Saccharomyces cerevisiae S288C: one gene and its partner. The main gene of each other region encodes a partner of the protein of the gene in region 2 in a complex. Each region holds a gene or a part of one and is shown on either strand. Other genes may lie near its edges. A codon is read from its position in the direction of its gene.

Region 1 (6,061 bases), on a different chromosome or scaffold from region 2:
TGCTAAATGAGGATTCCATTTATCATGGAGGGTTTTTCAAAGCTCAAATGAGATTTCCGGAAGACTTTCCCTTTTCTCCACCACAGTTTCGATTTACGCCGGCTATCTACCATCCAAACGTTTACAGGGATGGCAGGCTTTGTATTTCTATTTTACATCAAAGTGGGGATCCTATGACCGACGAACCTGATGCTGAAACGTGGTCCCCCGTGCAGACCGTGGAAAGTGTGTTGATCTCTATAGTATCTCTATTAGAGGACCCCAATATCAACTCGCCAGCAAATGTCGATGCCGCTGTTGATTACAGAAAGAACCCTGAACAATACAAGCAAAGAGTCAAAATGGAAGTGGAAAGATCGAAACAAGATATCCCTAAAGGTTTCATAATGCCCACTTCTGAATCGGCGTACATATCTCAAAGTAAACTAGATGAACCAGAATCGAATAAGGATATGGCGGATAATTTTTGGTATGATAGTGATTTGGACGACGATGAGAACGGGTCCGTCATTTTACAAGACGACGACTACGACGATGGAAACAACCATATCCCCTTTGAAGATGATGACGTTTACAACTATAACGACAACGACGACGATGACGAAAGAATCGAATTCGAAGATGATGACGATGATGACGACGATAGTATAGATAACGACAGCGTCATGGATAGGAAACAACCCCACAAGGCTGAAGATGAAAGTGAAGATGTGGAGGATGTAGAAAGAGTTTCAAAGAAAATATAAAAAAGAACAGTAAGAAAGAAGACAAAATTTAACAAAACATATTCAGCTCAAACGCAAAACATGAATCAATTTATACATACGCGATACGTTGTCGATAAAGCACTTTACATTTTTCCCTATGATAATCTGAGATTGACAGGGGAAGAAGAAAATAACTAAGTGTCGAAGAAAAATTTAGAAAAATTAATTCATCATCCCATTTTACTTCTCGCAGTACACCGTACGAAAGAAGAAGGTAAAGAATTGAGAAAAAAAGTGTATATCATTACATTACTTTACACCACCTTATAACCACAAACGTGTATATTAAGAAAGTTTTTTAAAAAGAAAGAAATAAGAAAACCAAATCCGTCCCACTAATAGTTTCTAAGTTACTGTACTTTTTTTTTTTGAATATATATCACCATACATATGTATATAAATATATATTTGTGTGTGTGTGTTTATATCTATATCTCTTTGCATCTAATTCCTCATTACCTTTTTTATTTTTATTTTCTTATCGGTTCTTGGCTAACGCCTAAGTTTCTTTTAATATTTTACCCGCAGTAAGTAAATGGTTTTTTTTTTGCAAACGCGTCTTAGGTCGATCTTTGCGAAAAAGAAAAAAATAAAGAAATAACGATAATAATAACGGTAATGGCTCAGGCCAAGAAAAACAAAAATCAAGTTGCATAGTCTATACTCAGCCAGGTGTAGATTCCTTTAGATCTGAATTCGCTTGCAGGGCTAGTTATCTTCAGAATTCAAGGTTTGAATCTGAAAGGCATTTGGAATTCTGCTTTTGGTTCATATTTAGAAAAGAAAGAAGAAAATGGTTTCTCCAACGAAAATGATAATAAGGTCTCCGTTAAAGGAAACAGATACCAACTTGAAACATAATAATGGAATTGCCGCATCAACAACAGCAGCGGGCCACTTGAATGTGTTTTCTAACGACAATAATTGCAACAATAACAATACCACTGAATCCTTTCCGAAGAAAAGATCTCTTGAGCGCCTCGAGCTCCAACAGCAGCAGCATTTGCATGAAAAGAAAAGGGCCAGAATAGAAAGGGCCAGGTCTATTGAAGGCGCTGTCCAAGTCAGCAAAGGTACGGGTCTGAAAAATGTCGAGCCAAGGGTTACGCCTAAGGAATTGCTGGAATGGCAAACAAATTGGAAAAAGATAATGAAAAGAGATTCTCGCATTTACTTTGACATTACTGATGATGTAGAGATGAATACATATAATAAGTCCAAGATGGACAAACGCAGAGATTTATTGAAAAGAGGGTTTCTTACATTGGGTGCGCAAATAACTCAATTTTTTGACACTACTGTCACAATAGTTATCACAAGAAGGTCTGTTGAGAACATATATTTACTAAAAGATACCGACATTTTATCGAGAGCTAAAAAAAACTACATGAAAGTTTGGAGTTACGAAAAGGCTGCCAGATTTCTGAAAAATCTTGATGTTGATTTGGATCATTTGAGCAAGACTAAATCTGCTTCTTTAGCTGCGCCCACATTGTCCAATCTTCTACACAATGAAAAATTATATGGACCAACGGATAGAGACCCCAGAACTAAAAGAGACGATATTCACTACTTTAAATATCCTCATGTATACCTTTATGACCTATGGCAAACTTGGGCCCCCATAATAACTTTGGAATGGAAACCTCAAGAACTAACAAACTTAGACGAACTACCTTACCCAATATTGAAAATAGGTTCATTCGGAAGATGCCCTTTTATAGGGGATAGGAATTATGACGAAAGTTCTTATAAGCGCGTAGTAAAGAGATACTCGAGAGACAAAGCAAACAAAAAATATGCACTGCAACTTCGTGCTCTATTTCAATATCATGCCGACACCTTACTGAATACGTCATCAGTTAATGATCAAACGAAAAACCTAATATTCATACCTCACACATGCAACGATTCTACCAAGAGCTTCAAAAAATGGATGCAAGAAAAGGCAAAAAATTTTGAGAAGACCGAGTTAAAGAAGACGGATGATAGCGCAGTTCAAGATGTTCGTAATGAACATGCTGACCAAACCGATGAAAAAAATAGTATATTATTAAATGAAACTGAAACCAAAGAGCCTCCGTTGAAAGAAGAAAAAGAAAATAAACAATCTATAGCAGAAGAATCGAATAAGTACCCACAGCGAAAAGAGCTGGCTGCCACACCAAAACTAAACCATCCAGTATTAGCTACTTTTGCAAGGCAAGAAACTGAAGAAGTGCCGGATGATTTGTGCACTTTGAAAACAAAGTCACGTCAGGCATTTGAAATCAAAGCAAGTGGTGCACATCAATCTAATGATGTGGCAACCTCTTTTGGCAATGGTTTGGGCCCAACAAGAGCAAGCGTCATGAGTAAGAACATGAAGTCATTAAGTAGACTAATGGTTGATAGAAAGCTGGGAGTAAAGCAGACAAATGGAAATAACAAAAATTATACAGCCACTATAGCAACTACTGCTGAAACATCAAAGGAAAATAGACACAGATTAGATTTTAATGCTTTGAAAAAAGACGAAGCCCCTTCGAAAGAGACGGGCAAAGATAGTGCTGTACACTTAGAAACTAATAGAAAGCCCCAGAATTTCCCTAAGGTAGCTACCAAATCAGTCTCCGCAGACTCCAAAGTTCATAATGACATCAAGATAACAACCACAGAATCTCCAACAGCATCGAAGAAATCAACTTCCACAAACGTCACCTTACATTTTAACGCACAGACAGCACAGACAGCACAGCCGGTGAAGAAAGAAACGGTAAAAAATTCCGGATACTGTGAAAATTGTCGTGTAAAATACGAATCTTTAGAACAACACATAGTTTCTGAGAAGCATTTGTCTTTCGCTGAAAACGATTTAAATTTTGAGGCTATTGACTCGTTAATTGAAAATCTCAGATTTCAAATATAGGGACACGACGTAAAGTGCAGTAGCTTTTAGTGATAAAATCAAAATAGTATTGTTCCGTTTCCATTGCTGCTCGGAACAAAAAAGCTATCAACGGCAATGTTATTGAATCACTTTCTCATTCACCCTTGTTACTTTCTTGCTATTGACTTAACTCTTATTTACTCGTCCATATATTATCAATTGCATATATATACATATACATATATATATTATCATCTAGATTAATTACCGTTCATATCATAACTCATTCTGAACAAATAATGATCGAGTACCCACCGCGGTTAATGTCCCAGTTTTCATTTTTACCCGATATCCTGCAGAGACCGAGAGGCATGAAAAAAAAAAAGCTAGTTCTCAACTGCATTAATTGCAGCTCGTATTCATGGTTCAACATAAAAGAACTTACGCTACAGCATTCCATTTGAATAACTCAGAGTATTAGTAAAAGAAATGTGTGAAGAGAATGTTCATGTTAGTGAAGATGTTGCTGGCAGTCACGGTTCTTTTACGAATGCCAGACCTAGGTTAATTGTACTAATAAGGCATGGGGAAAGCGAATCAAATAAAAACAAGGAGGTCAATGGTTATATTCCTAACCATCTGATTTCTTTAACGAAAACAGGTCAAATCCAAGCTAGACAAGCTGGTATTGACTTATTACGTGTTTTAAACGTAGACGATCACAACTTGGTGGAGGATTTGGCTAAGAAGTATATTAAAGATGAAAGTAGCAGGAGAACTTTACCGCTGAAGGACTATACCAGGCTGAGTAGAGAAAAAGACACAAACATAGTTTTTTATACATCACCCTATAGAAGAGCAAGGGAAACATTGAAAGGTATTTTGGACGTCATCGATGAATATAATGAATTAAACAGTGGTGTTCGTATATGTGAAGATATGAGATATGATCCACATGGTAAACAGAAACATGCATTTTGGCCGAGAGGACTTAATAATACTGGTGGTGTTTACGAAAATAATGAAGATAATATTTGTGAAGGGAAGCCTGGAAAATGTTATCTGCAATATCGGGTTAAGGATGAGCCAAGAATAAGGGAACAAGATTTTGGTAATTTCCAAAAAATCAATAGCATGCAGGACGTTATGAAGAAGAGATCTACGTATGGTCATTTCTTCTTCAGATTCCCTCATGGAGAAAGTGCGGCAGATGTATATGACAGAGTCGCCAGTTTCCAAGAGACTTTATTCAGGCACTTCCATGATAGGCAAGAGAGAAGACCCAGAGATGTTGTTGTCCTAGTTACACATGGTATTTATTCCAGAGTATTCCTGATGAAATGGTTTAGATGGACATACGAAGAGTTTGAATCGTTTACCAATGTTCCTAACGGGAGCGTAATGGTGATGGAACTGGACGAATCCATCAATAGATACGTCCTGAGGACCGTGCTACCCAAATGGACTGATTGTGAGGGAGACCTAACTACATAGTGTTTAAAGATTACGGATATTTAACTTACTTAGAATAATGCCATTTTTTTGAGTTATAATAATCCTACGTTAGTGTGAGCGGGATTTAAACTGTGAGGACCTTAATACATTCAGACACTTCTGCGGTATCACCCTACTTATTCCCTTCGAGATTATATCTAGGAACCCATCAGGTTGGTGGAAGATTACCCGTTCTAAGACTTTTCAGCTTCCTCTATTGATGTTACACCTGGACACCCCTTTTCTGGCATCCAGTTTTTAATCTTCAGTGGCATGTGAGATTCTCCGAAATTAATTAAAGCAATCACACAATTCTCTCGGATACCACCTCGGTTGAAACTGACAGGTGGTTTGTTACGCATGCTAATGCAAAGGAGCCTATATACCTTTGGCTCGGCTGCTGTAACAGGGAATATAAAGGGCAGCATAATTTAGGAGTTTAGTGAACTTGCAACATTTACTATTTTCCCTTCTTACGTAAATATTTTTCTTTTTAATTCTAAATCAATCTTTTTCAATTTTTTGTTTGTATTCTTTTCTTGCTTAAATCTATAACTACAAAAAACACATACATAAACTAAAAATGGCTAGAACTTTCTTTGTCGGTGGTAACTTTAAATTAAACGGTTCCAAACAATCCATTAAGGAAATTGTTGAAAGATTGAACACTGCTTCTATCCCAGAAAATGTCGAAGTTGTTATCTGTCCTCCAGCTACCTACTTAGACTACTCTGTCTCTTTGGTTAAGAAGCCACAAGTCACTGTCGGTGCTCAAAACGCCTACTTGAAGGCTTCTGGTGCTTTCACCGGTGAAAACTCCGTTGACCAAATCAAGGATGTTGGTGCTAAGTGGGTTATTTTGGGTCACTCCGAAAGAAGATCTTACTTCCACGAAGATGACAAGTTCATTGCTGACAAGACCAAGTTCGCT
Region 2 (4,338 bases):
TTAATTTCGCAATTTGTTGATGAGAAGTTCTGGCTACCTTAGTCACTATTTATTTTACTATGGCGGTATAAGTTTCTCCCGCCTTGAAAAAAGGAATACAGTAATAAAATGAATATAAATCAGGATTTTTTGGATTTTAACTAGGTAACAAAGAATTAGCAAATAACTGCCCATAATAGTATTCTTAAGTTTGTAGATACATGTCAAGTAAGCCAGCTTTTGATAAAACTTAAAAATTGGTAAACCGCGGATGTACCAAGTGAATAGCTTTCAAAATTAATGTTGTCACTCTTCCAATGGGCACCTGTAAGAATAATTAAAAAGAAATCTAGGTTCAAAACAATATTTTTGAGAAAATCTCAGGAAGCGACAGGTTATCATCCCATACATACAATATGAATACAAAAGCATGGCAATTTTGAATAGATATAGCTCTAGAACCGCTCAGGCGAAAAAAAACGCTATATGAGAACTATTGAAAAGGAAGAACTAACATGAAAGATGTTTGTTCATTTCGTACCTTTAGAAAAAGGGTATTAATGCTAGGGGTAAATATTATATATTATCTTCGTTAAGGGCAAGACCATTTATTTTATTTAGTATTAGTTATTAATGGGGCCCAATCAATGGACTGGTAATTTCGTATTCGTATTTCTTTCTACTTTAATATTGGTTTAATCTACGGTAACAATTGTGGACTTCTGCTTCAAACCTTCCTTTATCAAAGTTAGTTTCTCTCTAAAGTTACTTTCTGGATATCCTGGGATCTCGCCATATTTTAGTACTTCAACTAAGGGATATGTGGTGCTTTCATGGGAGGGAGAAATGTAGGTCACCAATTTACCTCCGTCGGATATTGCCATTTTATGATGATCTTTGAAATTGAACTGGAAAGTACCATCACTTAGTTCAAACATAACAAATGGTTTATACCTTGTGTATCTTCTCAAAAATACATCATCTTTATGATATTCTTCTCTGCCAAACGTAGATACTCGGCTCAAATTTGCCTTCATGTACTTGGCAAAAAAATCAACTACTTCTAAATGTCTACTTAGCTCTCGTGGTTTTTCGCTCAATAAATAATGACTTGCTACCCAACCTTCCCGATCGTCATAACTAATATACCAAAACTCTTCTGCATCTGCCAATCGGAGAACTGTGGTGCCATTATTAAATAAGACACCAATATCCTCTGTTGATAACTGATAGGAGAATCCGTGTTTGTTGGAGTAGTCGACCCACTTGGTAACTATCATTGGGTGTTTAATTTTAGGCAATCTTGATTTCGGAAGACCTCCCATTTTATACTGAGCTTCTGCTTCTACAATGCCATTCAAAGTAAGATGACACTCACTGGCTAATATTCTCAAGGAGATTTCTGATTTAATGACATTGGTCGATGTAGCTATTAATTCTTTTCTCAAAACGGCCTGTTGTGCTCTACGTATCCTTGCTTCACGAGCCAAATCGTTTAATCTTCTTTGTGCCTCTATATCAACAACCTCCTTATATTTCTGTTTCGTCCCGCCAGGGGATAAAGAATGTGGTAAAAATGGTCTGTTTTGGTGGTACTCTTCTAGTTTATCGATACTAGATTTAATTGAAGAAATATAATCCCTCTTTTGACGCTGAATTTTATCGCTGCTCATGCTTTCTAATAGTAGAGATTTTTCCATGCAATCTTTGAAGTTAACCAGTGACTGCTCTTCAGGAATATCCTCAAAATTTGGTGCTTCTGACATGACCGTCGAAGGAATAGATGGTGGGAAAGTTCCCCTAAACCATACATAATCCATAATTTCAGTCAAAGAGGGCCTTTCTATTGGATCTAAGGATAGAATGTCTCTTATTAAAATCTTACCTTCATCTGAGATTGGTTTATCTCTTGGAAACGAAAAATCACGACATTTGATTCTTTCATAAATAGTGTTTACATCTCTTGCTTGGAAGGGTGGCTTACCAATCAACAAAGCATAAAGCATAACACCTAATGACCAAATATCTACTTCAAATGAATGTCCAGAATGCTTACCCATCAACACTTCAGGTGCGATGTAATTAGGTGTTCCGCATATGGTGTATTTACGTTCACTTTCATTCGCCAACACAGCTGCCAGACCGAAGTCACCAATCTTTAAGTTATAGTTTGAATCGAAGAAGATGTTACCAAGTTTTAAATCTCTATGTATAACTCTTCTTGAATGCATATACTTAATTGCACCACATATTTGAGTGGTGAAAAATCTAACTTCTGGTTCTGTTAAAACTTTTCTTCTTTTTAGTAATTCCATTAATGAACCGTTGGGGCATATCTCCAATAAGATATAGACATTGCTATCATCCTCAAAACAATCAATAAACTGAACGATATTTGGATGGGACATACTTTTATGAATTTGAATCTCCGACAACAACTTTTTTCTTGTCTTCTCTGATTTAATTGAGGCTTTAGCAACTGTTTTGGCAGCAAAAATTTCGCCTGAATCGTCCTTAATTTGGAAACAGCGAGCAAATCCACCTTCACCTAAAAAATGACCTCGGTGATAGTCTTTTCCTCTTGTTTTGATTAATGAAGGTGGTGTTTTACACAAAGCTGATAACTTTTCCCTTTTCTTTTTTTGAGCTGGCTGGTGGTGATGATCATTATTCGGATCTAGTCTCTTTGTTTGTTTAAAGTGATTTTCTTTTCCTACGAGGTCTGCGGTATTTCCCTTTATTGGGGTGTGAACTAACTTGGAACGGGTATTCAATTGCTTATCATTGATAGCTTTAAGAGGACCCAACGACATCTTTATTCGACTTGATCTTACTCTGTTCTTTCTTCTCCACGGCTGTGATTTTTATTCTCTATGAATAACAAATGTAACGTTTATCGATGAATGAAAGAGAGTATATATAGAGAAGATATAAGAAAGCCAATGTTTTTGTGTACAAAAAATAATACTCAGCTCAATTATACAAACTTGACTATGCAGTTTAGCTTTTTTGTCTTTTCTTTTTTAAGTTTTCTTGAAAGTTAATGTAGTATATGCCACAAAATTGAAGGATGAAAAAATAGGAAAAAAAGCAGAATCAGAATTTGACACAAAAGGCTTATTGTTCTTTGAAACTGCCGCTTGAATTGGATTTACTTTCTCAGTGATTCTATATGTATTGTACGAAAGTTGAGTAGCACAAGAGTAACTGTTCAAGATATGCCTTGTTTCAAAGGATGTACATTCAAAGATCATCCCAGGTCCTCGAGATATTTATTCGTTCTATATTTTGGATTTTCTTTATTGGGTTTGTTTTGTTTTGACCCTTTTAGGTAATATCTTTTGACAGAGAAAAGTCCAAAAGTTCTTCCGGGTGATGCTACATAATGCCCTACCCGGGCAACATATAGAATAAGGTATATAAAGTAATAATATGCAGTGAAGTTACCACCGGGTAACGCATCTAGAACAGCTGAGATGAAAGAGGATAGGCTTGATCGCAGATTTTGCCCGCCCTATCTTTTCAATGTTCCTTCAACAATAACATAAATTTTGATGTAAAAATATGCTGGCGTCCTCGTACGATTCCCTCTTCATTTATCACAGAAGATGGTGATGATTCTACACATCTGGAAGGCAATAACAGTGCAACTTCATTTTCCGAGGTTCGGTTATGTCATGTGTGCTTTTATACGGCAAACGCCACCTTGAACAAAGGTATAAAAGAAAAGCGCTTTTTCACTCCACCGCAATCTCCGCGACCTATATAAGCCTATCACTCGTACAGTTTATAACCTTTAAGAAAAAGGATTAATATTTCGAACAAAGAACAGAACAAGAAAAGCAACAACAGCAACAAAATTCTAAAATATGGCACGTTCAAGAGGATCATCAAGACCTATATCGAGATCGAGACCTACTCAGACAAGGTCCGCTTCTACCATGGCGGCTCCAGTTCATCCACAACAACAACAACAACCAAATGCCTATTCACACCCTCCTGCTGCAGGTGCCCAAACGAGACAGCCAGGTATGTTTGCGCAGATGGCCTCCACTGCTGCAGGTGTTGCCGTTGGTAGCACCATTGGACACACCCTAGGTGCAGGTATTACCGGTATGTTTTCCGGATCCGGGTCTGATTCCGCTCCTGTTGAGCAACAACAGCAAAATATGGCCAACACCTCCGGCCAAACCCAAACGGACCAGCAGTTGGGAAGAACTTGTGAAATAGACGCGAGAAACTTTACACGTTGTTTGGATGAAAACAACGGCAACTTCCAGATATGTGATTATTACTTGCAGCAACTAAAAGCCTGCCAGGAAGCTGCACGTCAATACTAAGTTTAAAAGCTCAAAAATT

What was found.
Region 1: the proteins of CDC5 (region 2) and DBF4 are in contact, whole or in part, in a crystal structure (PDB 6MF6), measured with the Saccharomyces cerevisiae proteins. Residues at the interface, in NP_013714.1 of Saccharomyces cerevisiae: Glu553 (codon at 1,136), Trp555 (codon at 1,130), Trp565 (codon at 1,100), Val566 (codon at 1,097), Ala567 (codon at 1,094), His569 (codon at 1,088), Asp611 (codon at 962), Asp612 (codon at 959), Val613 (codon at 956), Phe614 (codon at 953), Arg616 (codon at 947), Ser630 (codon at 905); in NP_010337.3 of Saccharomyces cerevisiae: Arg83 (codon at 1,807), Ser84 (codon at 1,810), Ile85 (codon at 1,813), Glu86 (codon at 1,816), Gly87 (codon at 1,819), Ala88 (codon at 1,822), Val89 (codon at 1,825), Gln90 (codon at 1,828).

What each region holds. Positions count from the first base shown.
Region 1 is NC_001136.10:556,125-562,185, reverse strand, and holds DBF4 (protein serine/threonine kinase activating protein DBF4), read left to right. Parts: upstream 1-1,560; coding exon 1,561-3,675; downstream 3,676-6,061. Other genes in the region: SCF E2 ubiquitin-protein ligase catalytic subunit CDC34, read left to right, coding at 1-746; acid phosphatase DET1, read left to right, coding at 4,126-5,130; triose-phosphate isomerase TPI1, read left to right, coding at 5,714-6,061. UniProt on the Saccharomyces cerevisiae protein: Regulatory subunit of the CDC7-DBF4 kinase, also called DBF4-dependent kinase (DDK), which is involved in cell cycle regulation of premitotic and premeiotic chromosome replication and in chromosome segregation.
Region 2 is NC_001145.3:268,345-272,682, forward strand, and holds CDC5 (polo kinase CDC5), read right to left. Parts: upstream 2,793-4,338; coding exon 675-2,792; downstream 1-674. Other genes in the region: YMR001C-A (uncharacterized protein), read right to left, coding at 3,003-3,233; MIX17 (Mix17p), read left to right, coding at 3,849-4,319. UniProt on the Saccharomyces cerevisiae protein: Protein kinase required for the cell cycle where it is involved in mitotic exit. A component of the fear (CDC14 early anaphase release) network which promotes CDC14 release from the nucleolus during early anaphase. Phosphorylates SCC1/MCD1 and NET1.